Macaca fascicularis: one gene and its partners. The main gene of each other region encodes a partner of the protein of the gene in region 2 in a complex. Links are inferred from orthologs where the notes say so. Each region holds a gene or a part of one and is shown on either strand. Other genes may lie near its edges. The genes, in order: CAPZA1, S100B and CAPZA2.

Region 1 (10,708 bases), on a different chromosome or scaffold from region 2:
TTTGAAATAGTTAATTAAATTTTCTTGGGCTGGTTTGATCCAATTCCCCCCTACTTCTCTATTTTAGATGGAAATTAAGGCCCACCCATAGAGGTTAAGTGATGTTTCCAAAATCAGTCACAAGGTGACTAGAAGCACGACAGGGAAAGGCCAAATCTAACACTCACAATCACTCTTTTCCATTACATCATAATACCTCCCCCGCCCCCTTTTTTTTTCAGATGGAGTTTTGCTCTGTTGCCCAGGCTAGAATGCAATGGCATGATCTCGGCTCACTGCAACCTCCGCCTCCGGGGTTCAAGCTATTCTCCTGCCTCAGCCTCCTGAGTAGCTGGCGTGCCACCATGCCCGGCTAATTTTGTATTTTTAGTAGAGACGGGGTTTCACCATGTTGGTCAGGCTGGTCTCGAACTCCTGACCTCAGATGATCCGACAGCCTTGGCCTCCCAAAGTTTGGGATTACAAACGTGAGCCATCACCCCCGACCCATACTACCTCGTTTATAATCCATTAGATGGAAGCCTCTACTCTAGTTTTTCATTCATAGCTATATGGAAAAGAACAGTATAGTGAAAAAAGCATGGCTACACAATCAGAAAAACCTGGGATCTGAATTTTCTGACAAATTTACACTACTTTGTTTAGCATTAAGCCTAGTCATAATAAAACAGCCAAGTGTTCTGGAAGAAATTATGATAAATCAATACTACTAACAAAAGACTGGACATGTGAGTTTACACTTGCTTATTAGGCTTTATGTTCCTGTCCTAGGATTTCTTTTTCTTTTCTTTTTTTGAGACGGAGTTTCACTCTTGTTGCTCAGGTTGGAGTGCAATAGCGCCATCTCGGCTCACCGCAACCTCCGCTTCCCAGGTTCCAGCAATTCTCCTGCCTCAGCCTCCCGAGTAGCTGGGATTACAGGCATGCGCGACTGTGCCCAGCTAATTTTTGTATTTTTAGTAAAGACGGGGTTTCTCCATGTTGGTCAGGCTGGTCTCGAACTCCCGATCTTAGGTGATGCGCCCACCTTGGCCTCCCAGAGTGTTGGGATTACAGGCGTGAGCCACCGAGCCCAGCCTGTCCTAGGATTTCTTAACAGATTATATGAATACCTCTCAGCAAAGCTAACTGAAAAGTGAAGATGGAAGAATGACAGTTTTAATATTAATTGATGACTCGTTAGAAAGCAGCCACACCAAACAATCTTTAGGGCTTGCTTTATCCTACAATGGTAACTAGCAAATTATGGAGGTAATACATAATCAAGGATCCAGTTTAAAAGTATAAATATTTGGTGGGTACAGTGGCTCACGCCTGTAATCTCAGCACTTTGGGAGGCCGAGGAGGGCGGATAATGAGGTCAGGAGTTTGAGACCAGCCTGGCCAACATACTGAAACCCTGTTTCTACTAAAAATACAAAAAATTAGCTGGGTGTGGTAGCAGGTGCCTGTAATCCCAGCTACTTGGGAGGCTGAGGCAGCAGAATCGTTTGAACCCGGGAGGTGGAGGTTGCAGTGAGCCGAGATCGTGCCATTGCACTCCAACCTGCTGGGAGACAGTGCGAGACTCTGTTTAAAAAAAAAGTATAAATATTTTTCATATGCTCTAACAGAGCCTTCATATTTCATCTCTTTACAGCATTTTCTACAGCTCTACTAAATAATTCTGATAAACTTGATTCTCAAAAATGCCTTAAAACCACTACCGTTGTCTAAACTGAAAGCATGTAGTTTTTCTTAATACTGAAAACGTCACCTTATTACTGAAAGCATTAGTCTAAACTGAAAGCATAACTTCTCAATTACCATACTTTTGAAATTGTACACAAATATTCTTCTAGTTAGGCTAAAGGGAAAAAATATGCTAATCACACTTTTTTCCAGAAAATTATCTTTGCTTTTATGTTTTACAAATGTTGAATGAAATAAAAAAAACAGACAATGAAAAGAACCCAAAGAAGTAATTCATCTCATATTTCAGGCTTCCTAATTATGGTATCTTTGTCTTGCTAAGCATGTAACTAAAGAGCTCAGGTTCATTCTCAGAAACTGTGAACTCAAAGCTACAACTAAAACGTTTATTTCTAAAAGTTACTACACTTTCAACTTCCTGTTTTATTTAGATAGCTCATCATGACCATTTCAGGTAACAAAACCCAACTTCCTTTTTACAAAGTGATTAAAAAAACTTCAGCAGTTATGAGAACAGATGATTTTACTAGCTTTTACATACATATTTATAAGGAAATTAGAGTCCATTCATTATCACCAAATTTTCTAAAGGTTTACTGCCTTTAGAAAATGTAACCAAGATAAAAAGCAATATTGAAATATATTTGGCAACAAAAAAAACTATGCTAGAAGACGAAACTGGTCACAGATCTGCTATTAAAAAAACCAAGACTGGCCGGGCGCAGTGGCTCACGCCTGTTATCCCAGCACTTTGGGAAGCCAAGGCGGGCAGATCACGAGGTCAGGAGTTGGAGACCAGCCTGGCCAACATAGTGAAACCCTGTCTCTACTAACAATACAAAAAAATTAGCCAGGCGTGGTGACAGGCGCCTGTAATCCTAGCTACTCGAGAGGCTGAGGCAGGAGAATCGCTGGAACCAGAGAGGCAGAGGTTGCAGCGATCGCACCACTGCACATCACCCGGGGTGACAGAGCGAAACTCCAACTCAAAACAAAACAAAACAAAAAAAACCCAACACGTTAATGTTATTAAAACACTGCCAGTATTTAAAGACATCTTAATTGGCATTTTAAAAAATATACTTTCCCAAGTTTAATTAAAGGCATTCTAACCTGGTATCGAAGACAAAAATCCAACAACACTGGTCAATGTGTATCATGTAGGCACAATAAACTTAAAAGTTTATTATTTAAATTATTTGTGGAATTTTGACCGGGCGCGGTGGCTTACGCCTGTAAACCCAGCACTTAAGTGGCGGAGGCGGATGGACTTGAGCCCAAGAGTTTGAGACCTGCCTGGGCAACAAGACGAAATTCAGTCTCTACAAGAAATACAAAAATTAGCTTGACGTGTTGGCGGGTGCCTGTAATCCCAGCTACTTGGGAAGCTGAGGCAGGAGAATCATTTGAACTCGGGAGGCGGAAGTTGCAGTGAGCCCAGCGAGACTCCGTTTCAAAAAAAAAAAAAAAAAATTTGTTTAGTTGTAACAGGATTTGTATTATAACAGGATTTTTGCTTAATTTTATTTGAATAGTAACTATTTGCCTTAGAACAATTTATTATAGATTGATTTCCAGCATAAGCTCATATATGTCTTTGTTTTTGTCCTAAATCTTATGTATGAAGATCAGTTTCCAAATAAGAGAAAATCTAATGCTGTTGTTCAATGGCTTGTTAAGCATTTCAAAATGGCATGCCATATGTAGGTATGATGTATCAAGTTATTCGGTGCAGAGGACTTATGGATCATAACAGTCCCCTCCCCATCCCAACTTCTTATTTAAAAAAACACCCTGGTAGATTTACAGAGCACTCAAGGGGACACATTTTCCAATAGCCACAGCAGGAGACAAATGTCATAATTCTTGTAAGTAAGTTGTCTCGTGAGGTCATTCTAAGTTCCACGTGCCCTAAAATCATGTACTTACTGAAAAGCCTGACAAAACTGTTATGAAACTGTGCAAATGTCAGAAGAAAAGTTATTCCACCTTAGAATGTGCTCTTGTATTTAAAACGCTTTTCAAGAAATAAGTATACAAACTGCACACTGACAAATTCAGCTAATCAAAGACTCCACAGTGGAGCACCAGAGAAGGCAGGACGCTTTGTCAAGTCTTGAACGTGTTAACATGCAGTTTATTATCTGTTACAGAAAATCTTTCTTGAGGTTAAGAAAATCCATCAGTTATTCTACATTTGTTAACAAGAAACAAAATTTTCAAAAATTATCGTTAAAAGGGTGTGTCTACAGGGAAAGACTAGTGCTCAAATTGTGAAGCACATGCCCTGAGGCTCACAGATTTATTATAGCGAATCAGACAGGCGACAGTACTTGAGAAAAGTACTGCATGTGTAGTGAGGTGGACAACATTTGGGACCTCTCCTTGTCGAGGAGTCGTGACAGCAAAATCACTTCCTGAGGAAGGAGGAGCAAAAAGGAAGAGGCCATCCTGACCAGGAAGTGACTCGCCCTAAACTAACCCCAATTATATCTACAAATGGGGGGATGGGGGTTAGCACCAACTGCTAAAGGCGGTAAAATAACTGCTTTTTGATATGTAGCAACATAACCACCACCCACTCTCAAAATTACAGGAAAAAAGTCCACAGTCACGATCTAATAAAGGAAACGTCTGTTCCCTCGCAGGGAGGCCCCTGGGCTGTGCCTCAGGCCTGAGAGAAAAGGAGAGTCGAGGAACGAGGAACTGGGGCCACCGTGAGGCAGAGGAAAGCCCCGTAAGAGGGAAGCGTCCCGACTGCGGAGAGCGTATGTCAGCATTGACAAAGAAGCTTCTTTTTCCTGGGGACACTGCGAGGCTCCCAACGCAGCCGGGCCGAGCCCCAGTTCCCTGTCGGGGGAGGAGGTAAGAGAGAGAGGCGGACCCCTTACCTTCTCCTCATCCGACACACGATCATCGAAGTCGGCCATCTTGGGCTGTTCTGGCCCAGCCCGGCTGTGGGCGCTAGGCAGGCCGGGAAGAAAGCCGAGTGATGGAATCACCGCGGGGGCCGTCGGAAGGACCCGCCCGGAAACGCCGACCAAGAGGGCGCCATGTCAGTTATGCGCGGGAGTGACGTCTACTAGTGCCAGCGCCCGCGCCCGCGCCCCAGGAAGTAGGCTTTGCCTTCGGTGATTTAAAGTCTAATATCTTTCCCAATGAGTTACACTCATTTCCCATCCATCTAATGGGTGCTGGCAGCGTGTTTCGATTATTCTTGGCTCCTGGCCTCCATCCGACCAAGTCGCTCTTGCAGTTTTTCTGGTACCCGTTATCTCCACGACAGCCGAATCCAAAGCTCTAAGAGCTGCTCGGCCGCTGGAACGATCGGTGGCTTTTCCAACCCCGGGGGGCGGGGGTGTGAAAGGTGACCCTCATTTCGTTTGGAAGCGGTAATACTTCACTTTGGGGTCACATCTTAGTCCAATTCCTCCAGAACAGGCGCTGCTGTCCGCCCCTTCCCTGCCCCACAAAGGAATAGGTATCCTCAATCTTGAGACACGCTCCTCCACCTTCGAAATCTTCTCGGTCCGGGTTCCCCAGGACTCAGCCTTCAGAGAGGCCAACTTCAGGTCCGCCACTATCCCAGGATTCCCGACTCCCGGTTTCCTGTCCTTCTCCCCTCCCAGCTCCTGGCTCCTGCGATAGCGGCAAGATGGCGGACGGTGGCGGCTCGGGTGAAGCCGCGGCTGCTAGAGCGTCTCCTGCACCTGTCCCCGGCCTAAACCCGACGTTGGGCTGGAGGGAGCGACTGCGAGCCGGGCTGGCGGGGACTGGGGTCTCGGTGTGGTTAGTGGCGGGGCTGGGGCTGCTTTACGCTCTGAGGATCCCTTTGAGGCTGTGTGAGAATTTGGCAGCGGGTGAGAGGACCAGACCTCCTGGGGCAGGGCGGGGGGCCAGGAGAGATGTCGGGGGCAAGAGCCAAAGGGCAAGAGATTCTCGGTAGTCCTAGAGGGCCTCTGAGGAGTCGATGATGAGCGATCAAGTGGGTTCTTTTTCTTTTGGACTGCAACCTTGCAATTGATTGTCAAGCCTGCTGCCTCTACCGGCTCCTCCCTAGAACTCTTAAGGTCCGTCCTTTCTCTTATGTCCTCGTTTTTCCGTGGAAAAGCCACCTGACAAGCTATAAGCTTCAGGTATTAGGACAGAAGGGTGCATTCTCAGATTAGGATACGTAATTTATATTGGCTCCCCCGCCTCTGGTAGGATCCCATAAAGTCACTGCTTTGAGTGTCTCGCCGCCCAGCTGAGAGAACTCATATCCAGGCAACAAAGATGAGCACATCTGTAATTTAAAGATTTCAGAGAAAGAAAATGGCATGATTTTAATTGACGATTCTCTTGTTTTAAAATAGTTCTGTTAAGAAATAGTTGTCGTGATATTTTTGTCTGTTCTTTTAGGCTTATCTTGAGTAATGTAGTACAGGAAGTGAGAGAGCGCCACAAACAACTGTCGGTTTGCTAGTTCTTTCGACATCTGTAGAACACTTGCTATGTAGTCTGTGCTGAAAATACTAACACATGTAAGAAGTGATGATCCTGATGGATTCTCATATACTGTACTATTCTTTAGTTGTAGACGGGATAAAGTGTTTAGGGCCCAGATCCCCTTACCATGTGATTATATTTCACTCAAGCTCTGAGCAGCAACCTCAGAACAAGAAAGAAGTATTTCTGTTATATGATTCAGTACAGTGGTTGATTTTTCTGTAGCAGAAGGTAGCGAATGTCCCCTTTCCTGTTCAGAGATAACATGAAAGACTGTGAGGTAAAGTTCGGAAATATTTTGGCTTTTTTGGAGGATAAGGTATCAAGTTCAAATATAACTAGCACACTAAAATAAGCTAAACTGAAGAGCTAACTTGGCATCTCTGTAACAGGTGAATGAAGTGCTTAACGGCGGTTTCTATGCACAGTGTTACTGATTGACTTGTCATTTATTTATTTATTTATTTATTTTTGAGACGGAGTCTCGCTCTGTCGCCCAGACTGGAGTGCAGTGGTGCGATCTCGGCTCACTGCAAGGTCCGCTTCCCGGGTTCATGCCATTCTCCTGCCTCAGCCTCTCAAGTAGCTGGGATTACAGGCGGCCGCCACCTCGCCTGGCTGATTTGTGTGTGTGTGTGTTTTTAGTAGAGATGGGGTTTCACCGTGTTAGCCAGAATGGTCTCCATCTCCTGACCTCGTGATCCGCCTGCCTCGGCCTCCCAATGTGGTGGGATTACAGGCGTGAGCCACCACGCCCGGCCGACTTGTCATTTATTTTTCTACATGTTAACCATATACATTTAGATGAGAATAGTTGATTACTGTAGATTTTGCTTTTTTACTTTTTCTTTTTTATTTTTTGTGAGACAGAGTCTCCCTCTGTCACCCACGCTGGAGTGCAGTGGCAAGATCACTGCAGCCTTGAACTCTTTTGCTCAAGCGATCTTCTGGCCTCAGCCTTCCAAGTAGCTGGAACTACAGGCGTGCACCACCATGACCAGCTGAGTTTTAAATTTTGCATAGAGACTGGGTCTATTTTATTTGCCTAGGCTGGTCTTGAACTCCTGGCTACCAGCGATCCTCCTGCCTTAGCTTCCCAAAACTATAAGATTATGGGAGTGAGCCATCCTACCTGGCCAGATTTTTATTTCTTTCTAAAACCCACCGTACTTATGAGATAATTATTTGAAGTGAACAATCTGCTCCAGGATTTCAGTAAGTCAGGGAGATTTCTGTTTGTTGCTTTTCTCTTTGAGCCATTTTGCCTCTCTAGCTGATATGCCAAATACATACACTGTTTCCTTCCCTCTAATTTGAGACAGTGGTTTTGTATCCTACCAAAATAATTATGGAGTCGTTTTGAACCTCCTTTGTAAAAGCATGTTTGTTTATCTTCTTATTCTTACAGACTTGCAAACGTTCTTGTCTAAATTATGACTTATAAGTGCTTTAGTTTTATTCTTTAAAGCAAGCTGAATTACCTCATTTTGATTTGTTGCAAATAGTTATAAGCCATTATGTATATTATGTATACAAATTAAAACTTTTTCAAGTGAATTTCACACTAGATATTAATACGACTTAAGTCCCATCACTCATAAAGATACTCGCATATTTGTAACCTAAGTACATTAAATTTGCATTTTTTAAAACTTTGATTCTTGTTCTTTTGACAGTGACTGTATTTTTAAATTCATTGACACCCAAATTCTATGTGGCACTTACAGGGACATCTTCATTGATATCAGGACTAATATTTGTAAGTAGTTTCCATTTCCTTCCTTCATGTTTTGGTATTTATCTAAAGATTTTTTTTTTTTTTTCCTTTTTTGAGACGGAGTCTTGCTCCGTCGCCCAGGCTAGAGTACGGTGGCATGATCTTGGCTCATGCAACCTCCACCTCCCAGGTTCAACTAATTCTCCTGTCTCAGCCTCCCGAGTAGCTGGGATTACAGGTGCCGGCTACCATGCTCAGATAATTTTTGTATTTTTAGTAGAGACAGTGTTTCACCACATTGGTCAGGCTGGTCTCGAACTCCTGACCTCAGGTGATCCGCCTGACTTGGCCTCTGAAAGTGCTGGGATTACAGGCATCAGGCACCACCCTGGCCTAAAGATCCTTTATATGGTTATAATATTTATAAATTATTATTACCTATGGATCAGCATTTCTAAAATGTATTCAGCATTTGAAAAGATTACCTATTCAAACAAGTTTGGGGAACACTGCATCTCCCAATCTACTTTTAGAGATTGACAGTATTTATTTACATATTAAAGGCTTATTGTAAACTGTAGTCAGGGAGGGCTTGGGGTGTACTGGAAATTAAATGCCTGCAGAGCCCAAGTTGGTAACAAAAATGAGTGAAATGGATAGAGTTTAATAATTAAATTCTTATTTCTTTGAGGACTGGGTAGCCTGGACAGTGCATGCCCCTTCTAAAAGAGGCTAAGGCCGGGCGCGGTGGCTCAAGCCCGTAATCCCAGCACTTCGGGAGGCCAAGGCGGGTGGATCACCTGAGGTCGGGAGTTCGAGACCAGCCCAACCAACATGGAGAAACCCCGTCTCTACTAAAAATGCAAAAAATTAGCCAGGGTGGTGGCGCATGCCTGTAATCCCAGCTACTCAGGAGGCTGAGGCAGGAGGATCGCTTGAACCCAGGAGACGGAGGTTGCATTGAGCCAAGATTGCACCATTGCACTCCAGCCTGGGCAACAAAAGTGAAACTCCGTCTCAAAAAAAATGAAAAATAAAAAAATTAAAGAGGCTAAAACTAATTGTTGCCATATAGACTTGCAACTAGTATTACCAGGTTTTTCAATTTTTCAAATGATTTAAAGAGAACCCAGATAGACCGGGCGTGGTGGCTCATGCCTATAATCCCAGCACTTTGGAAGCCTGAAGCAGGCAGATCACTTGAGGCCAGGAGTTCATGAACAGCCTGGCCAACATGGTGAAACTCCATCTACTAAAATATAAAAAGTAACAGTATCGTGGTGCGTGCCTGTAGTCCCAGCTACTTGGGAGGCTGAGGCATAAGAATCTCTTGAACTCGGGAAGTGGAGGTTGCAGTGAACCAAGATCTTGCCACTGCACTCCAACCTGGATGACAGAGAGAAACCCTGTCTCAAAAATGAATGAATAAATAAATAAATAGAACCTGGATATACAGTTTTTATATAAAATTTGCCCATTAAAAAAAAAATTGAGATGGAGTCTCACTACATTGCCCAGGCCAGAGTGCAGTCACTATTCATAGGCACCATTATAACACACTGTGGCCTTAACTCCTGGGCTCAAGCCGTCCTCCCATCCCAGCCTCCCTACTAGCTGGGATTACATGCATGTGCCACCATGTCTGACTACAGTATTTTAAATTGGCAACACTGGGAAGACTAAAATTATGTGTCATAAATTCAACCTATAGGTTTTTCAAGCCCATTTCCTCATCTGTTAACTGAGGTTAATAACAGCATGAACTTTATAGGATTATGAAGACTAAATCAGATAATGTTGTAAGTTTATAACATGGTAGCTGGTTCAGAGTGTACACTTAATGAATTTTGGCTATTATTATTCTGAGAATTCTCACAGTTAAGAAACCTGTTTGACCTGACATAGGGGTTCATGCCTATAATTCTAGCACTTTGGGAGACCGAGGTGGGCTGATGGAGTTCAAGACCAGCCTGGGAAACATGGCAAAATCAAAAAAATACAAAAATTAGCCATGTGTAGCATGCACCTATAGTCCCAGCTACTGGGGAGGCCAAGGTGGGAGGATCACTTGAACCCTGGAGGGAGAGGTTACAGTGAGCCAAGATGGTGCCGCTGCACTTTAACCTGGGTGACAGAACAAGACTGTGTTTCAAAAAACAAAAGCAAAAACAACAAAACTGTTCAGCTTTAATTCAACTTTTCCTTGAAGAAGATATTTTTAATTTAAGAAAATTAAAATATTTTTTATAATTCACATTAACATCCCTAGGATGTCATGTTTCCTAGTGTACACTTTGCAACAATACTGCTGCAGATAAAAATCTTAAGAAGTTTTATGCCATGCATAGCCAATAGATTTTTCTATTGTCTTTAAATTTTTATTTATTTTTTGTAGAGATGGAGTCTCACTGTGTTGTTCATGGTGGTCTCAGACCCCTGGGCACAAACGATCCACTCTCCTTGGCCTCCCAAAGTGCTAAGGTTCCAGGCATGAACCACCATGCCCAGCCTGTTCTTTTTTTTTTATCTCTAGGTGGTGCTCTCCAGCTGTAGTAGAAATAGCATTTGTATTGGATCTGTTTTTTTAAATAGGGACTAATACAGACCATTTTGTTAAAGTGAAATGCCATACAAGAACGAGATTTTTCTCTTGGCTTAAAAAATAGAAACTATTGAGGAATTCAGGATTAAAACTACATGTTAATATAAGCCTCATAATTTAACATAAACATATTTTAGCATATTTAGTCCATAGCATACAAAAGTCTAAGTAAAGATAATAAACTATCTTTAAGCCAGGCACAGTGGTTT
Region 2 (10,669 bases):
GTCTTAAAGACTTCCAGTGGAACGCAATGTTTTGAAAGTCGTCTTTGTTGCTGAAGTAACTCTTGGGAACGTCCTAGATTTGTTAACCCTGTATTCTTCTTCCCACTCGAATTGCTTTCTAGGTGTCATGAAACTTTTTCCTGACAGTTCTGCCTGACATTGGAGCTGAATGAATGGCGTGGCTATTAAGTGATGTACAAAGCCTCAGAGGAACAACCACAGTGCAGGGCTACAGATGTAGTGGGAAATATTTGGGTATTGAACACTGATGAAGAGCAGAGTAACAATTCCCCGGGACAGGAAGGCTTGGCCTGAAGAAGTCAAGTGTGATGTATAACAGCCACCTTGGCTATAAGACACACAGGGGCCGGACGTGGTGGCTCACACCTGTAATCCCAGCACTTTGGGAAGCTGAGGCAGGAGGATCACTTGAGCCCAGGAAGTTTGAGACCAGCCTGGGCAACACAGGGAGACTCCATCTCTACAAAGAAAAAAAAAAACAATTATCTGGGTGTGGTCCATATGCCCATATTCCCAGCTACTCAGGAGGCTGAGGCGGGAGGATTGCTTGAGCCTGGGAGGTTGAGGCTGCAGTGAGCCAAGATTGCACCATTGCACTCCAGCCTGGGTGACTGAGCAAGACCTTATCTGAAAAACTAAATAAACAAAACATACAGAAGATTGTAACTCCATGGGGGTAGGGGTGGGGAGGCACCTGTGGATGGGCAGGAGCAGGGCACTAACTTCAATTACATTATAGATCTGCTTCTGAACTGAAATTACCTTGATAAAACCAGGGAGCAAATGTTCGTGATGCCTTGAAATGCTTACCATGAATTATTTATCATTTACAAATTGAGATTCCCACATGCTAAGCTTTTTCTATGTATAAAAATAATTAATAATAGCTACTATTAGTTGAGCTTTCACTATATGTTAAGCACTTAAGCACTGTCCCGTTTCATCCTCACAACAGCCCTTGTTCAGAAGAACCTGGGACTTTCAGTTCAAGTCAGAAGGCATGATTGGTGGAACTAGAAAACTGCGTCTGTGAGTGGGACTGCTGTCACTCTGTGGACTTGAATGCCTGAGAAAACCAGTCCTGGAATCAGACGTGGGGATGCCCACTGCAAGCTTGCAGGCCTGTCTGCTCCACTCTGAACCATTCACAGTGGTGCGGTGTTTGGTGGAAGTGCGGACAGGAGAACCAGCCAGCCCCCATCCCCCTGCCCTGAAAACATGGACTGCTGGGCTGCTGGAGCCCAGGGCTTGCTGTCTTGCACTGAGAGGCTTGGCCAGCTTAGGAGGGCAGCTCCCCATTCCCATGCAGCAGAGCCCTGCCCTAGTATTTACGCTGGAATCAGGACTTGGTGAGACACTAGTGCACTGGCTCATTTTCTGGTCATTTCTCCCTTTTGTGATTGCTCATATCGGTGACCCAGGAAGCCCTTCATTGCATCTCACACGTGCACACCACCAGTGCTTCACTCTGGCTCAAGGCATGCCTCAAGCCAGCCTTGGTTCTAAGAGAGCATCAGGTACCAGGGGGATCACAGTTCACTTCCATGAGGGCATGAGGTGGGCAGTAAAGACAGGTGGGTCTGATCCAAGGACAGCGGAGAGAGTGGGTAAGAAAATGAGTCCTAATGCAAGGGTCTGGACATACTTCCACCACAAGCCACAGCAGGAACTGCCTGAAGAACAGGGCTCACCAGGAACCCTCATACAGCTTCCAAAAGTAGGGGCCCCAACTAAAGACAGTTCCTCACCAACATATGTTACTCCACGGAGCCTCCTGCAAAGCCCCAGGGCTTCCAAGGATGTGTACAGACCCCTGTCACGCCCTCAGTTAAGCCAGTCATGGTCATTCATCCATGTGCCAGGGTGGGTGCCCCAGAGCAGAAGCCATGACTGTCATGCCTGCATATCTCACAGTTCTTAATTAGTGCTCAGTCAGTGTTTACTGAGTGAAAGTCTGGCATGTCTTATCTCCATAGTAAATACTAAACATCTAGCTAAGCCAAAATACATCCTTTTCCTAAAAACTTTCCCAAAGCTTATTTTTAACAGTTTCCTTTTATGTTCACTTTGGCCCATGGTAAGTAATGAGTCCAGCATTATTTGGGAAGCTTTGGCCTTTGGGACCTTGATGCACCGATTGTACACAAGATGGTTGATAAGGACATGAAAACAAGGGGCCTATATGAGCCAGTCCCACACTGAAGGTTCCGTTACTCAAACAAGTTTGCAGAAGCAGCCCAGGAGTCCTGGAAGGAAACTGAAATCACCTTCAGTGCAGCTGAGAAGATAAAGCCAGTGTACCGGTGGCTTTTTAAGAGGAGATGGAGAAGGTGTCAAGTGTAAAAAGCAAGACTCACCTCTAAGAAATGGGAAAGCTCATTGTTGATGAGCTCCTTCAGTTCGGATTTCTTCAGCTTGTGCTTGTCTCCCTCCCTTCCAGAATATTGGTGGAAAACGTCGATGAGGGCCACCATGGCTTTCTCCAGCTCAGACATCCTAGGGGCTCGCAAAGGAAAGATGCCTTCTCATCTATACCTCATCATAAAACATTTCACAGGTTATCAATACAGACCGCAACCCAGACAAGGGGGATGGACTGGCCCTGGCACTCTTTTCAAGCTCAGAACAGCAGGCATGACCTGGAGGGGCATTCTGGGAATTTGTACCTTTATCAATCCTTCCACCTGCCTCTTAGACAGATGTGAGCCTTCTCTGTCTCTGTGGGCCACAGGGATATATTCCCATGCCCTCTGGCTTCTGGTTGGGTTGGTCCAACAGGGAATCTTTAGCAAAAATACAGACGCAGAGCAGCAAAGGAATTCACGGGTTAAATTTCTGCTTCCTCCCCACACGGTCCCTCTCTGTTCTTGTAAGGCTCCAAGATGAGGTGGTAGAGTGCAGGTGAGCAAACCATCGACTACAAGCTGTTAAAATCAATCTGAAAGTGAGACAGTGACTAGGAGCAAAATAAGACAAAAATCAAGAGCATTCCTATATTCTATCAATAAAGAAATAGAAAATCCAGTGCGAAATATTCTATTCATATAGAAATAGCATGTGATCTAAGACTAAGTTTAGGAAGAAAAATGCAGGTCCTTCCAAGAGATTCGGAGGAACATAAAATGTAGGAAGTTTTTCCTTTAAATTCATATGTAAATTTAAATCATTTTTAATAAAAATGATGGAATTTTTTTTGGATGTGTGACATGACAAAAACAGCTGTAAAATTCATCTGGAAAAATAAATATGGTAGAATTGCCACAATCTTTTTGAAGAATAACAGTGAAAGTTATTTGATCTACCAGGAAAAAAAATGTATCCTAAGTTTAACTGATTAAATGCGTGTGGTTCTGTGGCAGGGAGGGACAGAATCCGGCAGGAAGCTGAGCTGCTGAGCCTGCATTCTACCTCCAGTGCAGGGAAAGGCTGGTTCATTCACTGCAGTGACTGGGACGGGGCAGGAATAGGTGTTTCTCTGCAGCTGTCAAAGTAAGATCCCTCCGACCTCCCTCACAGCAAGTACCTTACGCCACAGCCTGCAAACCAAGGAAATATCTCATCAGTCTGGGAATGAGGCGCCTTCTACAAAGGATGCCTTGTCAGTTGTCTCACAAAACAGATGGGCAGGCCGAGAAATTTACCAGCTTTTGGCCTTGAGTTCTAATCATCAAATAAGAACATTTGCACTGTTATAATTAAAAATAAATTAATAAATAGTGTTGAAAAATCATTCCCATGTTGAATATATGACTTACATCTTAAAAATAATTTGGAATTAGATGTTAAAAATTTTATTTATTTCTGATGCTCCAAAGGAAACAGGATTGAAGATTTTTTTGTGCTGGCTAGATCTTTGCTAAAGGCATTCTATTAATAATCAGTGTACTTTATTTTGCTCTTGAGTCCCTAAAAATTTGGTAATTCATAAATAGAACAGTTAAGATGGATTAAAATCTTTAACATTTCATGCTTTTCTTATTCTTTGCACTCAAGTTTTCAATTATTGATATATGTGTGTGTATTTTTTTTGAACAAAACAAAACAAGACACTTTTACATCATTCTGATGCTCCTCAAAGTCCATGATGATTTGGGGAAAAGGAGGTTAAATTGTTTTTCTATGAACTATGACTAACGAGATTATTACAAAGGAAGGCATAAAACATGTATTCCATATATTAGAACACTAATAGAAACCACTAGAAAATATGGTTTTCTTCATAACCACGCTACAAATCAATTAAAAAATTCTTGTTAAATTTTTCCCTTTGACTTAATAAATAGTTGATGGTTTATAGTTTATCTTTTAAGAGAAATGGAAATAAATATGTTTCTTTCTCACATTCTGTGAATGTCCTACATTAATCTTTTAATATTGAGAACAAGAGAACATTTGAACTTTAACTCCTTAGAAAGACACGTTACCTAGCGTGTGAGGATCCCTCTAGGGGTTCAACCTCCCTAAGAAACTGTGAGACTGAAGAAAGTTAAAACCCACCAAAACCCCAATTTCTTTGACTCAATTTATTTGTAACTGTTACGTAATTTCTGAGTGGCGTCCTGGGGCTGTTGTCACCCTGGCACTTCAAACTGAGGGAAACTGGAAAACTGAAGAGTTACTTACCCAGGGCGGTGGAAAAAGTAACAAGGAGAAAAGGGGTTTATTTAGGATATGGACTAAACTAGCATTAGGTTCTCCATCATTTCCAGCTGCAGTGGGAAGCAAAATCTTTACTCTTCAAGTAGTTACAGGAGAGGTAGTATTTGTAGCACCACTGGGAAAATGTCAGCAATCACTTCTGGGCCGAGACCTGAGGTTTCTCTGATTTATGAAAAATACCTCTAGCTGCCTAGGGCTGATGCAGTCAGGTGTCCACAAAGAAGCAATAATGTAGAGATTAAAACACATCATCCTATTGACACTTCTGAAGTGCTGCCAATTGTCCTAAAGGGGGTTTTTAAGCTACCATTTAGTTTCTACCCCTCCATTCCCTTCCACCCAAACGAAAACAACCATTTCTTCCTGAGCATCCTCTTGGCCTGGCTCTTTCTCACCTCTTCCTTGTCTCACCCCTTCCTGGTCTCCTTGCTGCGGGCCTCGTGTCTGCTGCGGGTCCTGGGCGGCAGGTCTAGTGGGCAGAGGCAGCCTCTTATTCCGTCTGCCCAGGGAGGACGGATGAACCCTGGTGCAGCCCACTGCAGGCCATGGCAGCCAATGGGGGCCGAGGGCGGGGGTGGCAGGGCTGCCAGGCCTGCACACAGGGCTGCATTGACCAAGCAGCCCCGGGGACTTGCTGGGAGCCAGGATTGCACATGGGCTGAGGAAGAAAAAAGGGCCTGTAGGGCAGGAAGTGGGGAGTCAGCTTTTTGTGTGATTTATTTATTACATGAATATTGATGTTCCCCTAAAGGCAAGGTTGGGGGTAGGGAGAGGAGAGAGACTTGGATTAATTGATTCAAACAAAGCAAATGTGCAGCCAAGAACAAGCAGCTTGCAAGTACAGGCTGAGCGTAGGAGATTAAGTGGCCTGCAAGCTGGTTTCTAATGGAGAGGCCCCTGGAGCTTCTCTCCTCTGCCAGCCTCCACGTCTGGCCCCACCGGGCGTGAGGTTCTGTGGACGGTAGTGCTTGTCTGTGGTCGGCCCTGGGCTCAACGGGGCTGCCTCAGAGAAGCTGCTGAACCCAGTGTCTGCAGGGACTAAAAAGGGTGGTACTTTTAGGGGAAAACATGATGTGTGGATTGTATCCCAAGGCCTTTCCCTCCATCCCAGGGTAGAAGGTCACAGACTGTCAGAGTTGGACAATGCCTTAGAGATGTCCTGTGCGAATGCTGTTTTACAGAGGCGTGTGGACGGTGTACCCCTTGCTGAAGGCTCCAGCCAGCCTGAAGAAGGAGAAGTCCAGCTGTCCCCTCAACTTGTTGACCTGAGCCTCTGAACACGGGGGCCAGTTTGTGGGTTCTTCCTCACAAGAGTGAGGAAGTAGGTGTTCCTTCTGACAAATTACACAAAAGCATTGGCCCAAACTCTACAAACGTGTCCATGGTCCCCAACCGATGCCTGACCCAGCATCAGGTCCTTCTCCCAACCCAGTTTCGAAGTGGCCGTGAAAGGGTTTCCCACGAGATATCTGCGTACACGGCTGTTTTGCTGTCATTGCTTTATCTAGGAAGTTCTTTACCATTCAGGATCTATAAGTGTGCCCTGGAAATAGCACAGGGCCGAGAGCTGTGGTCTTGCGTGGGTCAGCCTGCCCCAGGCTCCTGTGAGGAACGGCCTGAGCCGGTTGGTTGGCCCTCACTTCCTCTTAAGCTTCACCAACCCTGGCTGTGGTCTCTGCTGAAGGATCCGCACAGGCTTGCTCTGTGAAGCACAGAGCTTGCCCAGGCCCAAGGAAGGCACAACTGTGCTCTGTGCCCCTTCCTCGCTCAGATGTTGGAGGGACCATTCCGGTAAGTGCTGACCACTTCCCCAGAGTGGCAGCCTGAACTCTGGATTCACCCTTCAGTAGCCATAGAAAACGCTCCAGCCTGCTCCTGCAGGGGTTAAAAACAGTTTGAAACCCACTCATGCAATGACCGTACACCTGTGCCTGGGACACTGCGTTCAGCAGGAGGGCCCAGGCGGGCCTGCCCTCAGCACACTGCAGCTTCCTGGGATGGCAAGTGCTGGGCAGTGGGTCCACCCTGTTCCCAGGTCTTGGGAGCAGGCTGAGAGAGAGGATCTGCCACAGGAAGGAGAGGGACTTCCAAGCACTCTGGGGCCCCAGGATGGTACTGTCTGCCCAGGCTCCCCGGGAGCGCGTGGACACAACCTCACCAGCTTCCCACAGACGCCTACAATTTCTGGGTCTGAATCTTGGCTCCACCATTTAACAGTGGTTTGACTTTGGATAAATTACTAAGCCTTTCTGTGAAAGGGGTGACCATAGTCACCTTGGCAGGATTGTTCTGCGTGTTTTTCCCTGACCTTCACACTTCCAGATCACCCTGGCTTACTCGTCCTGACCCCTCAGTTTTGATCTTATCTGTGACTCGCACATTCACCCACCCCCTGCAGCTATATTCCACAGGAAGACCCTTCACTGAGTAATGCGAAATGCATTGTTGAGTGAGTGGAACACCTGAAAAGTTCCATGGTCTATAGCCTACATATGACCATATGGATTGCTGGACTAGACCTCTGATTTCAGTGAGATGATAATATTTCAGAGTAGCAGGCTAAGACAAGGTGGGCATGTCAGCCATAAACAGCAGAAGGAACACACCAGTAATCAAAACGCCTTGGTCCACAGAGATTTTTGGCAGTGGTCAATTGCTCACGGTGTTCCTCAGAATGAAGAGATGGACAGTTGCTAGAGCGGTCTTTAATCCACACAACAGGAAGACCTCTAGGTCTGGTCACCAAAATACCTACCTTGAATCACCACAGTGGAGATCATGGGCTCTCTCCAAGTTTCCAGACCTAAGTTGGGTCAGACCTAGGGCATCTTGATTGAAGGGAAAAGCCAAGGCCACTTGAGAAAGAATCTGTGCTAGCGAGAAAGAATACCACAAACCCTCCTCCACACCTGTTCTGACGTGCCCTGCAGCCATCAACTAATGAAAAGGAAATAACCTAGATGTCTCAGGGATTGCCTCCTTTGACATGAATTCCTGGGAACCAAAAATGTCACTGTGGCTCACCAGTCAAAGTAGGAACTTGTGATGGTCGGGTCTTCACTTGATAGAGGTTCTAACTCGAGACCGACTCGCAGGGGGCCCAGTTGGTACACTATTCTCCCTATAGTTAGTTTTTCAGTTCCTGGTTGTATAATTGAAACAAACATACACTAGCTAAATCCCCTCACTCACTCTCTTATGTATGAGATGAGGACCATGATGGTAGGAGAAGTTTGGTGAAAGTCTCAGAACTTCCCCTTCTTATCCAGAAATAGTGAATCCCTGGAAGAGCTTTGGAGATTAATGCCACCCTTAAAGAGCTGAAATAAGCAGGCGCTGTGACACTTCGTTCAAACTCATTTAACTGGCCACTTTGACCTGTGCAAAACTCATACTGTTACCAGAAAAAGGGGTCTCGATCCAGACCTAAAGAGGGTGTTCCTGGATCTCACGCAGGAAGGAATTCAAGGTGAGTTGCAGAGTGAAGTGAGAAGAGAGTTTATTGAAAGCTCTTACATTCCATTACAGAGTAGGGCATTCTCAGAAAGCAAGCAGAGGAATTCACTGTCTTTAAGTTTTTCTTATATAGAGGTTTTGTCTATAAAGATTCAACTCAGCTGTGACTATATGCGGGCGAGCAGACAGCATGGCAAAATTATTATTCTATTGATCCAAAGAAAACTATCCTTAAGATTTTAGCGTGTGCATACATTAAAACATAACTCTTGTTATCTTGAAAGCGTACATTGTTTGGGTACTGGGATGTCTGCAATCTCCGTTGTGTCCTTGGAGGTATCGTTCAGCTGTTTCCTCAGCTATAAACATCTTAGGTCTGTGGGTTTTGACTGCAAGAAATGTGCCTTGTTAGTCTCAAGGTGGAGCTGAACTTAAAGTGGCATTACTCTGACTCTCCTAGGCGCCTGCTTCTCCAACAATATGGATTATGAAGAATGTGGACCATTGCAAATGTAATCAGCTGGTGACTTCACTTACAACCGCTGTGCCAGATGAGAAATCTCTACTGAGAAAATCAACATATTCCCTGGCACTTTGCATGCAGCTACTGATCTTACTAATGCTTTTTTCTCAAACCAATTTGCAAGAACCACCAGAAGCAGTTTACCTTTACCTGACAGGGTGAACGGTATACACTCACAGTGTTGCCTGAAGGACATGCCAGTTCTTCTGTTCTATGCAATAATATTTTCTCCAGAGATCTAGTCATCTGGTCAGTTCACAAAACATTACACTGGTCCACTAATATTCACAATATTATGCTTATTGAATCTGATAAACAGGAAGTAGCAAAGGTGGGAGATAATCTCCACAAAATGTAGGGGCCCTCCACCTCAGTGAAGTTTCTAGCAGGTTCAGAGGTGTGGAGTATGTTGAAATATCCCCTCCAAGTGAAAAACAAGTTGATATATTTTGCACTGCCTCCTGTAAAAAAGAAACACGATATATATTTGGGCTTTGGGGATTTTAGATACGACATATATTATATTTGCATGTGCTACTTTCAGCCTATGAGGCTGGAAGTTTCAAATGGGGGTCAGAGAAAGTTTAGGCTGTCATGGAAGCTGCTTTACCACTTCACTCGTAGGATTCGGTAGATCCAGTGATATTTGAAGTGCCTGTGGCACACTGAAATGCAGTGTGGACCATCTGACAAGCATCCACAGGAGAATTGCAGCACAGAACTCTGGGATTTTGGAGTAAGTCTATGTCCTCTTCGGCAGCTAACTGATCTCATTTTGAGAATCAGCATCTGGCTTGCTACTGGGCCATAACCATGGGACATCAGGAGACCACGCAGCCTAAGTGCTATCTGATCTACCTGGCCATAAAGTTGGGTGTGGGTGTAACAGCAACGTAGCATCACATGGAAATGATGTATGAAGCTGATCTGAGGCAAATCTGAAGGTGCAAAATGTGGCATGAGTAAGTGACTCAGACTTCTTTGACACCAACTCCTGTTACATTGCCTCCACTGTCTCAATCCATGTCTATGGCCTCCTGGGTTGTACCTTACAGCCAGTTGACTATGGAAGAAAAAAGCTCACGACTGGTTTACAGATGGGCATGATATGTTGGTACCACCCTGGACTGGACAGCTGCAGCACTTCAACCACAATCAAGGATTATCTTGAAGGACAGTGGTGAAGGGAAATCCTTTCAGAGGGCAGAACTTACACTTGATTGCCCACTATGTTTGGAGTGAGAAGTGGCTGAAAGTATGGATCAGTATTAATTCATCAGCAGTTGCTAATGGTTTGATTGGTTGGCAATTTCAAAGGAACAGGACTGGAAAAATGGTGACAAGGAAGGCTGTGAAAAAGAGCCACGTGATGGACCTCCCTGAAGGGGCTTATATTCCTGCTTCTAGTGGGACATGTTTTGCTTTGTCTCGCTCCTACTTCACAGCCCATCATGGTGCTTGTGCATGTGTATATCTGGTGGTGCTCTGTTCCAGTCACTTGTACAGAGACGGCAGCCCTGGGTGACCTTGCAGCCTGGGCTGGGCCTGTAGCTGACCACTGCACACTCCAGACCTTCAGCTACCCAGCTCCTTCTGCATGTCCACCCACCGGCCTCAGCTTGCCTGTGCCCTAGGGTGTTGTTTCCTGCTGCACTGTCCAGGCTCACGTCCACAACTGGACCCTGACACCTTTAGTGCACCCAACCCCCAGCCTTGGCTCACCTGTGCTCTACAGGATTGTTTCAAGAACTGTAAATGCTCTGAGATTTTATTCTGCTCATGAGCCAAAATGTAGACCATTATAGATGCTGGCAGAAGACATGAGGTTTGTGGGTCAGAGATTACTCATGGCAAAATTAGTAGCCAGAGTTTCATGTTCATGTTGGTTTCCCGTTGCCCCATTTTGTCCCTTTGTCCCTCCACGATGATGCAGATGAGCCTAGATGAAGGTGTGCACATGCCATGAGTTGTGCTACAGTCGGCAACACTGAGCTTAGGGACTTGTGGATT
Region 3 (10,719 bases), about 160 Mb from region 2:
TAAATCCTCACAGTAGCCCTACGAAGGTGGTACTGTGGTTATCCCTAATGTATAGATGAAGAAATGGAAGCCTGCAGAGTCAGTTCCTTAAAGTTAACTAGAGCTAGAACAAAGATCAGAATCCAGGATTTAGTGATTATAAAATCTTTGTACCGGTCAGGCGTGGTAGCTCACGCCTGTAATCCCAGCACTTTGGAAGGCTGAGGCTGGTGGATCACGAGGTCAGGAGATCGAGACCATCCTGGCCAACATGGTGAAACCCCGTCTCTACTAAAAATACAACAATTAGCCGGGTGTGGTGGTGCATGCCTATCATCCCAGCTACTCGGGAGGCTGAGGCAGTAGAATCATTTGAACCCGGGAGGCAGAGATTGCAGTGAGCAGAGATGGTGCCACTGCACTCCAGCCTGGCAACAGAGTGAGGCGAGACTCCATCTCAAAAAAAAAAAAAAAAAGAAAAGAAAAAGAAAAAGAAAAAGAAGGTCTTCAATAATTCCTGAGTAACTCTAGAATGATCTATGTCAGGCTTCTCCAGGGGCACGACTTGTGTGTACCTTTTCAAAACTAGCTGAGGAAATGGACCACAGGTAGGATACACTCAACTATCAATAACTTAAGCAATTATTTGTTTAGAAAGACAATTACTTTTAAAATATATGTGATTTTTAACACTTTTCCAGAGCCATAAAGGACTTTACTTGAGACCAGTTGTGTTAATTAACCATGACATTAACAAACAACCAAATGTTAGTTGTCTAACATTGATAGTTTTTCTCAGAAGTGAGGTAAGTCAAACTTTTAAGCTGCAGATGTTATTTTTCTGGTGCAGAGATGGTATTATAGAAGTCTATATCTGGTACAATAATTTAATGTTCACACAGTAATACTATTAATCATCTTATTTTACATTATTTGATATGGATATGTACATGAAAGAACATGAGTCTGACCATCAGGATACTTGGATTTTAAAATAATATTAACTAGATATGCAATTTTTATTGTGATGTCATTTATTTATCTAAGGCTCAACTCATCTGTAAAGAGAGAGATTTGTAGTAGATGCACCCTAAAATTGTTTTTCTATGAAATTGGGTAACCTCTGGTCTTGACAAGTTTAAAATGTAGTTGAGTAATTTCAGTATATCCATAGGAAAATAGATGTAAAAGTATACAATTAACTTAAAAACAAACACTGTAAAAGGAAGAAAAATTCTGGTGATGTTAATTGGAAAGACCAAGATCAGACCACGAATAAGTAGAAGAGAGGTAAGTTTGGCAAGGCGCGGTGTCTCACGCCTGTAATCCCAGGGGTTCGAGACCAGCCTGGTCAACATGGTGAAACCCCGTCTTTACTAAAAATACAAGCATTAGCTGGGCATGGTGGCAGGCGCCTGTAGTCCCAGCTACTCGGGAGGCTGAGGCTGGAGAATAGCTTGAACCCAGGAGGCAGAGGTTACAGTGAGCTGAAATCATGCCACTGCACTCCAGCCTGGGGGACAGAGCAAGACTCTGTCTGTCTCAAAAAAAAAAAAAAAAGAAAGAAAGAAAGAAAAGAAGAAGAGAGCTAAGTTTGGAAATTAATTAAGAATAGTTAGAAATTCTTAGTAGGTAAAATCATGGATAGGATAAATATTTTGTTTATTTTCTCCTCCTCATAAAATAACTGATTATCCAAGAATACCAGTACATTTCTCCTTGCAGTCATATAATAATCATTTCATATTTTACCTTTTTGTGTAACAACTTAAACTCTTTCTAGAATACAGAGGCTATGTAAATTTTAGAATTGATTTTAATTGTGCCAAAAGGGTGGTATTGGGAGATTACTGAAAAGATTATCAGAAATTATACATAATTGTGGGTTGTGTCACTATGGCAAACCACATACAGTGATACATGTATTGTATCACTAAGGTTACAATTATAAACACACTCTGACTCAAATTATTGCAAAACATTACCATATTTGGGTGAGGTTTCTAGAGGAAGAGAGCAACCAATTAATCAAGCAATATTTGCTGAGTATCTACTGTATACAAAATACTAATATAGGTGTTGCCAAGTAAACAAGAGAAAAGAACAGAAAAAAACAAAACCAGAAGTACTGCTGATGCAGCACGGGGTGGTGAATTGAATTTACAGGATGGGATAGTAATTGCCTTCATTAAGTTTTATTTGGTGGAGAGTGCCCAGACTTAAGAGGAAGAAAGAAAAATCTTGCAGTGGAAAGAACATGAAATATAAAATAAGATGCCTAGGTTCCAATCCCAGCTTGGTCACTTAGGAGCTGTGCAATCTCCTTCCTTCCTTCCTTCTTTCCTTCCTTCCTTCCTTCCTTCCTTCCTTCCTTCCTTCCTTCTTTCTTTCCTTTCTCTCTCTCTCTTCTCTCTCTCTCTCTCTCTCTCTCTCTCTCTCTCTCTCTCTCTCTCTCTCCCCCCTCCCCCGCTCTGGAGTTTTGCTCTTGTTGCCCAGGCAACCTCCACCTCCTGGGTTCAAGTAATTCTCTTGCCTCAGCCTCCCAAGTAGCTGGGATTACAGGTGTGAGCCACCACTCCCAGGTAATTTTTGTGTTTTTAGTAGAGACAGGGTTTCGTCATGTTGGCCAGGCTGGTCTCAAACTCCTGACCTCAGGTGATCTGCACACCTCAGCCTCCCAAAGTGCTGGGATCTATGCAATCTTAAATCATTTAGCCTCATTTTTTTCTTCTGTAAAATGGGTATAATGGTAGTGATAAGCACCTTTCTTCATGAGGTTGCGGTGAGAAATCAATGAAGCAATGATTTGTAATCTGTAAGAGTAAATATGTTAATTTTCGTCCATTGTTACCCTTGGTTAAACTATGTGGTTTATCCTCTTTATCTTCTTCACAACGTTTATCATCGAAAGGACACCTGCTTTTTTCTGCCTGTGTCAGCATGCTTCTCCTTCCTGTTCTCTCCCCAAATGAACCATCAGTTTTTCAATAGCATAGCTGCTGCTTGCTGTCCATTCACAAAAAACAATGATTTGCACATTACGAACACCCAGTAAATTACTTAATAATAGGGTCGTGCATCTGAACATTTATTTCATACTCTCACATTTCATTTATGTGCAGCTGTCAGATTCATCTTGCTGCACGTTTCTGATCATGTCATGTCACTGTTCAAAAGTTCTCAACAGTTCCTCACAGAATCTGAACGCCTGTCTTAAACCCTAAGGCCTTACCACTCAAAACGTGGTCTCCAGATCAGGAACACTGGCATCAGCTGGGAGCCTGTTATTCCACAGGCTGTATTCTGGAGAAAACAGATTCTCCAGCCTCATGCCAGATCTATTGAATTAGCAACTTCATTTTCACAAGATTCCCAATTGATTCATATATATGCAGCTTTGATTACATGTTTAATCTCTCATAAACTTCAAGCTTCAAAAGCAGGGTTGCTAGATTTAGCAAATAAAAGTAAAGGATGTCCAGTAAAATTTGAAAACAATGAGTAATTTTTAAGTATGTCTCCAACGCTTCATGGGACATACTTTTCAAAAGATTGCTTATCTGCAATTCACTTTTGATTAAGTGTCCTATATTTAATATGGCAACCCTATTCAGGAGGGTAGGATCCATGTCTAACATAACTTTGTATTCCCCTGGAATAGTACAGTGCCTTCCCCAACTGTTTTTGTTTTGTTTTGTTTTGTTTTGTTTTTTGAGACAGAGTCTCGCTCTGTCACCCAGGCTAGAGTACAGTGGCGCGACCTTGGCTCACTGACACCTCCACCTCCCAGGTTGCAATGACTTCTGCAACTCTCCTGCCTCAGCCTCCCCAGTAGCTGGTATTACAGGCATGCGCCACCACTCCAGGCTAATTTTTGTATTTTAGTAGAGATGGGGTTTCTCCATGTTGGCCAATCTGGTCACGAACTCCTGACCTCACATGATCTGCTGCCGAGACCTCCCAAAGTGCTGGGATTACCGGCGTGAGTCACCACGCCCGGCCCCAACTGTTCAATATATGTTTGTTTAATGAGTACAAAAATGAGCTTCTTGAGAACAGAAGTTTCTCTTTTTATTTCAATAGTTTTGGAGTACAGGTGGATTTTTGGTTACATGGGTAAGTCCTTCAGTGGTAATTTCTGAGATTTTAGTGCACCCATCACCTGAGCAGTGTACCCTGTACCCAATATGTAGTAATTTATCCCCTCCCCAGTCCCCAAAGTCCATTTTATCATTCTTATGCCTTTGCACACTAACAGCTTAGCTCCCACTTATAAGTGAGAACATAAAATATTTGGTTTCCCATTCCTGAGTTACTTCACTTAGAATAATGGCCTCCAGCTCCTTCCAAGTTGCTGCAAAAGGCATTATTTCGTTCCTTTTTATGGCTGAGTAGTATTCCATGATGTATATACCCACATTTGCTCTATCCACTCATTGGTTGATGGACACTTAGGTTGGTTCCATTTCTCTGTAATTGCGAATTGTGGTGCTATGAACAGGCGTGTCTAGCTTGTTTTTTTCTCCCTCAACACTATAGCCCCAGAGACTAACACAGTGCCCCGCACCCCGTTAAAGGACCAGAAAATATTTGTTGGATGAATAAAGGAATATATAAAGAGCAATCTTTCAATTATGGAGCGGGTCGTGTGTGTGTATTTTAATGAAAGCCGACTATTTAATTTTTTGTTTGTTTGTTTGTTTTTTGTTTTTTGTTTTTTTTTTGAGACAGAGTCTCGCTCTGCCGCCCAGGCTAGAGTGCAGTGGCGTGATCTTGGCTCACTGCAAGCTCCGCCTCCCGGGTTCACGCCATTCTCCTGCCTCAGCCTCCCGAGTAGCTGGGACTACAGGCGCCCGCCACCTCGCCCGGCTAGTTTTTTTGTATTTTTTAGTAGAGACGGGGTTTCACCGTGTCAGCCAGGATGGTCTCGATCTCCTGACCTCGTGATCCGCCCGTCTCGGCCTCCCAAAGTGCTGGGATTACAGGCTTGAGCCACCGCGCCCGGCTATTTAATATTTTTTTAAAAACAATGTTTAAAAAGCTTCTATTTGTCCACCTTTTCAGATTTTAGCTGGCAGAGTTCAAGACTTGATAGAAACATAACGAAGGGCTCAGAATGTACTCATCGCAGACTGAGCCCATATGGTCACTGTGGGGAGAGAACGTTACACTCACGATGCTAGCAAGCCTGCTGCAGGCGGCCCCGGGAGACAACGTCCCCCGCCCGGCCACCAGGCACCCGCGCACGCGCACAGCCGCGCTCAGTCCCCGAGGGCCGGGTCGAGGGAGGCGGGGCTCTCGGGGCGCGTGCGCGGCGACCTGAGCGGCGGGCCCCTCCCTTAGCGGGGGCGCGCGGCGCTGAGGACCGCACGGAAGCGGGGAAGTCAGGTGGCCGCTGCCGCCGCCGCCGCCGCGGTTTGTCGCCAGAAGGAAGATGGCGGATCTGGAGGAGCAGTTGTCTGATGAAGAGAAGGTAAGAGTCGTGGGGGTGGCGGCGCCGGCCGTCGGGAGCCGGCTCAGCCCGGGCGGGTGGGCCCAGAGTCTGGTCGCGGGGGATGGGCATTGGCTCGCAGCTGGCGGTGCCCTCGTCTGCCCTTCTTCCCCCATCCTTGCTGCGCCGAGTGCCTGCCCCTGTCCGTCACCCGAGGCCCCGCGCGGGGGCAGGTCTTTGCCAGGCCTGCTCGCTCCGCTCCTTGTAGGGTGTGTACTCCGAAAATAGGAAGCGGGAGCCGGGCGACGGCGGGCGGGGGCGCGGGCGCGGGGGAGGGCGGCGGCTGCCCGGGACTCTCTCCTGCTATCCGGCCGCGGAGCCTGCGCCGGGGGCCGGGGACCGGGGACGCAAAGGGGTCTGCGTCCGTGCCTGGGAGCGGCCCAAGGGCAGTGCCCAGCGCGGCGGCCTGGCCTGTGAGTGTAGCGGCGGGTGAGGGGGAAGGGAAAAATCGCTTAGGAAGCAGACCTTCACTTCTCCCTTCTACTTCCCCCTCCCCAAAACAAAACGCTTCCTTTTCTGATTCTCTACGGTTTATCCCTTTTTTTTCCCTTTCCCTATGGAGGCCTCTCTCTCTCCCTCTCTCTTTCGTTTCATGGCTCTAGCAGTAAGCTTTGCAGCTCCCATGTTCCCCGGGAGGCAGCGGAGTTGCTCACAAAAAGACGACCCCCTCCCCATAGTTGTTTTCTGCCCACGTTGTCAGCATTCTCCCCGGGGGTCGATTTGGTGTCACGTCACCTTCCTGCTAGGACTTCTTCCGAGAGGGGAAATTGTTCTACTCCTTTTACTGTATGTCAGATGCTGTGACAGCAGTGGAACCAGATGAACTACTTAAGTTCTCAGATATTTAAAAGGAGCAATGGAATAATTCATTGAACTGCTGCTCTCTTAATTCGCCCCTTTCGTTTGGCTTTCGTGAACGTCCCATTCCTGAGGGTGGTGGGATAGGGGAGAACCCTGCTAATTTTGACTGTTTCTCGGAAAGGACACTGACGTTTCTCAAACTTAGAAGTAACTGACAGAACATACGAGTGAGTTAGTTGTAGGGTTGGAAATGTCCACTCTTCGTTAAAGAGTGCTCCATTTTTAAATTTCAAAGCAGTACAGCCAATGGAGGAAAATACAGGTACATTTAGGTACGTTGTGGTGTTTAAGAAATCCTCGTGTAAGTCTAAGAATATTTTCATTTGGGACCCTCTGCTCTAGGTGTTTTTATATGCTGTGTTCTTGCACCGAAATAGAAGGTTCTGTCCCATTCCCAATGTGAATGGTCAGAAGTCAGCCTCATCTTTATTTTCGGAAATCTGTCTTTCTCTTGTGTTGTTTGGTGAAAGTGATAATACAACAACAAAATGGGGGCGAGCAACGTCTCCATAACCCACAGACCCAGTAGGCAGATCCCTGTATCCACAAAAGTTGCTATACAGTATTGAATGTATAATCTTGGTAAATAACCCTAAGTAGGTGACTGAAAATGTACAGGAGTGCACAAACGCATATTTAAAATTGAGTCGTGCTAAAAAGCTTAAAAAGAGATTGTCGTGTTTTTATTCTACCATTCTTAAGTGGTGATTAGTAGCTCAAGTGGCTAGAAATCTAGCTGAAGAGAGAATACTCAGTGTGGGAGTTAATAAGACCTGCCATGTGTTGTAAAGGCCTAAAATTAAAAAGTTTTTTAAAAATGAGATAACAAGATGCCTTATTATCCGGCACTCTCAGGGCACTAAGCTTCATAAAGAGGAATGAGGAGGTTCTATGTCTTAAAGCCTGCGCCGCCTAGTAGCAAAATGTTTTATGGTTAAATGAATGAAAATTCTAATTTGATTTTTGGTGTTTTGTAAGAATATTATGTAGATATTTTACATATAAATTTCATCACTATATTTACTAATTTAAAAACTGAGAAAACTTTTAGGTTAAATTCAAGTAACCAGTTAAGTGAAATTTTAACGTTCTTGTCAATTGAGATATCTAAAGGTTGTTTTCATTTTGGGGCAGGAGGATGTGTCCAGTATGGGATCAGAAAACAGAGAGGACTTAAAAGTGATATTTTGATATTACTCTTTCTACGCCTTATTGGTAATTTTCAAAAATAAGCTGTCAAGCTGGGCATGGTGGTTTGCACCTGTAATGCCAGCTACTCTGGATGCCAAGGTATGGAGGATTGCTTGAGCCCAGGAGTTGTAGACCAGCCTGGGCAACAAAGCGAGACCTCATCTCTAAAAAAAAAATACTAAGTTTTGAATACTTTTAAGTTTTTGAGATTTCCATTCTAGATTGCAAATCTGAGGAAGGGAAGCTGTTAAGATGTATCTAGTACTGTACTTTATATATGCTTGGCTCAGTTAGATCCATTCATTACTTAATTTGTTGTTGTAAGAGGTAGTTGTTCTATTTCCATTTCACAGATGAGTAGAGTGAGGTTCAAAAGCTTTAAGTAGTTCACCCAAGGACAGTCAAGATGAAGGTCTTGTTACATTATGCTCTCTTCTTTTTTTTTTTTGAGACAGAGTCCCCCTCTGTTGCCCAGCCTGGAGTGCAGTGGTGCAATCTCGGCTCACTGCAACCTGTGCCTCCTGGGCTCAAGCGATTCTCCTGACTCAGCCTGCTGAGTAGCTGGGATTACAGGCACGTGCTACCATGCCCAGCTAATTTTTGTATTTTTAGTAGAGGCGGGGTTTCACTATGTTGTCCAGGCTGGTCTTGAACTCCTGACCTCAGGTGATCCACCTCCCTCGGCCTCCCAAAGTGCTGGGATTACAGGTGTGAGCCACCGTGCCCAGCCGACATTATGCTTTCTTAAACAAAATTGATAAAAACCTCTTCTGGTTTTGTCTCTTCATTTTTAATTTGTTGACAGCTTATTTTGAAAAAGGAGAAACGTTGGTTCTTCCTTTTTTCTTTTTTAGACAGGGTCTCACTCTGTCACCCAGGCTAGAGTGCAGTGGTGATCATGCCTCACTGCAACCTCAACTTCCTGGGCTCAAGCAGTCCTCTCACCTCAGTCTCCCCAAGTAGCTGGGAGTACACGCAGGCGTGCCACCACACCCAGCTAATTTAAAAATTTTTTTTATAGAGACAAGGTCTCACGATGTTGTCCAGGCTGATCTCAAACTCCGGCTCAAGCAATCCTCCCACTTGGGCCTCCTAAAGTGCTGGCATTACAGGCATGAGCCATGATTCCTGGCCCTTTTTTAAAAAGTAATACCAAACAAGTAGTGTTAAGTTCTAAATTTTTGTCTTGATCATTTTAGAATAAAGCTTATTATTAACACATTTAAATGTGTTATGCTACTGGTAGGAAGCATTTTAGAAATTAATCTAGAATAATAGTTTTGCTTTTTAAAGTCATACACAATTGCTTTTTAAGGCTATCACTATGAAATTTAATAACCTTTTCTCCTTTGGCCACTGGGTGAATGGGAAATACATTTAGCTGAAGACCACAATGAAGTTCTTTAAAGCTCTTAACTTGTATAGTGTGTCCCATAGACTTTTTTACATAGTTACAGAAACCCTAGACCCAAAACAGTTCATTGTCATTCCTGGGTCAGCTGTATTGTACAGTAAAGCATTTTTGTGAATTTGAAATTATATGAAATAGTTGTGTAAGACTCAATTGAAAAGACCCATTCCGAAACCTCTCTCTGGATGAGAGATTCAAGTTCCAGAAGGAATACACTTAGTTACTGATGGGAAAGGATCTTTTTTCTTCCTGTAACCCTTTACTTCAGTGATTACAATAATCTATCCCATAGCTTCAACTTTTACGTCTTTGCAGATGTCTCCCAGGTACATAGCTGTAGCACTAACTTCTTTCCAGATTACTGGTCAGATTTTTATCTGCTAGTCATGTTCACTGGAGATGGTTAATTAGGTACGTACAAATGGAGCTTGCCTAGAAGTAAATGTATGAACTCCCTTCTTCTTTCCTCTCACACAAAGGGGGATATAATCTATCTCTCTTGATAATTTTTCTCTTTATATCTTTATTCCCATTATTCCAGTCATCCTGGTTTTTAATTTCAGCTTTATTCTAACTTTTTTTGGCCCCGTACCTTACAATCAACTGGTAAAAGTTGTCACTTCCATCATCAAAATGTATTATACAAATAACTTATTTCTTGCTTGAAAAGTCAATTCATTTATATTAATACTTGGTTTATTATCTCTTCATTGACCTGATTATTAAATAATGTTTGGTAACAAAATTTCACTGTACAAACAGAATGCAACTTGATTATACTTGTTCTGTGCCAACAGTTAAGAAGTAAAGTCAAGAAAAATTTCTCATATCCATTCTTTCCCTTCTGTTGTATTTGCCACTGTTAGGCTTTTACTATAAAGTTTCTAGACTAATTCCTCCTGTTTCCTGTATCTAAGCCATGCTTTATTGTGTCATTTATCTACTCTCAAAATTTTAGTGCCTGGATCCTCCATTGCCTTTACAAGGAAGTCCAGCTCTTAAAAAATGGTATTCATGGCCTTGTATTCCATTTTAACCGAAATAGTTCTGACATTTTCAATATATATTGTTACTTAATCGTGCTGTGAATTTAGAGAGACTTCAGAGAACTGCATACTAGTTCATTTCTCTCTCTCTCTCTCTTTTTTTTTTTTTTTTTTTTTTGAGACAGATTCTCATTCTGTCACCCAGGCTGGAGTGCAGTGGCACAATCTCAGCTCACTGCAACCTCCGTCTCCCAGGCCCAAGCAATTCTCCTGTCCTCCTGTCTTAGCCTCCTGAGTAGCTGGGACTACAGGCACATGCCTGTGTGCCTGGCTAATTTTTGTGTTTTTAGTAGAGATGGGGTTTCACCATGTTGCCCAGGCTGGTCTGGAACTCCTGAGCTCAGGTGATCTGCCTGCCTTGGCCTCCTAAAGTGCTGGGATTACAGGCGTAGGCATGAGCCACCACTCCCAGCCACTGGTCCATTTCCAGCACCTCAGATAAATTATTTAATCTTAACTTCAGTTTGCTCTGAAATGTTAGAATGTGGTAGTAAGTTACCTTCTTCATTAAGTTGTTGTAAGTCTATTGGGCTTGGCATGTAGTAAGCACACAATAAATTGTAGTTATTTTTCTCTGCTCATGACTTTTCATCTACTTTGAGTATTGGCACTGCTCCCAGGTCTGTCCCCTTTTTTGAAACATGAAAATCTCAGTCATCCCTTAAGATTTAGCTTAGATTACACAGCTTTTTTAGCCTCTCATCTGAACTCTACAAGAGATCGTTAGTATTAAATACAAT

Evidence for each region.
Region 1: the proteins of S100B (region 2) and CAPZA1 are in contact, whole or in part, in an NMR structure (PDB 1MQ1), measured with the Homo sapiens proteins. The link is inferred for Macaca fascicularis from reciprocal best matches to the Homo sapiens genes S100B and CAPZA1. Residues at the interface, in NP_006263.1 of Homo sapiens: Glu46, Glu47, Lys49, Val53, Lys56, Val57, Thr60, Phe77, Met80, Val81, Ala84, Cys85, Glu87; in NP_006126.1 of Homo sapiens: Thr265, Arg266, Ile269, Asp270, Trp271, Asn272, Lys273, Ile274, Leu275.
Region 3: the proteins of S100B (region 2) and CAPZA2 are in contact, whole or in part, in a crystal structure (PDB 3RM1), measured with the Bos taurus proteins. The link is inferred for Macaca fascicularis from reciprocal best matches to the Homo sapiens genes S100B and CAPZA2. Residues at the interface, in NP_001029727.1 of Bos taurus: Ile37, His43, Phe44, Leu45, Glu46, Ile48, Lys56, Val57, Thr60, Phe77, Met80, Ile81, Ala84, Cys85, Phe88; in NP_001013016.1 of Bos taurus: Thr267, Lys268, Ile269, Trp271, Ile274, Leu275.

Annotation. Positions count from the first base shown.
Region 1 is NC_088375.1:121,754,261-121,764,968, forward strand, and holds the start of CAPZA1 (F-actin-capping protein subunit alpha-1), read right to left. Parts: upstream 5,296-10,708; 5' UTR 4,808-5,295; coding exon of another isoform or gene 4,807-4,807; 5' UTR 4,623-4,806; coding exon 4,584-4,622; intron 4,558-4,583; exon of another isoform or gene 4,194-4,557; intron 1-4,193. Other genes in the region: ST7L (suppressor of tumorigenicity 7 protein-like), read left to right, coding at 5,348-5,552, 7,857-7,939. UniProt on the Homo sapiens protein: F-actin-capping proteins bind in a Ca(2+)-independent manner to the fast growing ends of actin filaments (barbed end) thereby blocking the exchange of subunits at these ends.
Region 2 is NC_088377.1:517,851-528,519, reverse strand, and holds the start of S100B (protein S100-B), read right to left. Parts: upstream 5,146-10,669; 5' UTR 5,076-5,145; intron 2,525-5,075; exon of another isoform or gene 2,518-2,524; 5' UTR 2,517-2,517; coding exon 2,379-2,516; intron 1-2,378. UniProt on the Homo sapiens protein: Small zinc- and- and calcium-binding protein that is highly expressed in astrocytes and constitutes one of the most abundant soluble proteins in brain.
Region 3 is NC_088377.1:158,305,255-158,315,973, forward strand, and holds the start of CAPZA2 (F-actin-capping protein subunit alpha-2), read left to right. Parts: upstream 1-5,323; 5' UTR 5,324-5,413; coding exon 5,414-5,452; intron 5,453-10,719. UniProt on the Homo sapiens protein: F-actin-capping proteins bind in a Ca(2+)-independent manner to the fast growing ends of actin filaments (barbed end) thereby blocking the exchange of subunits at these ends.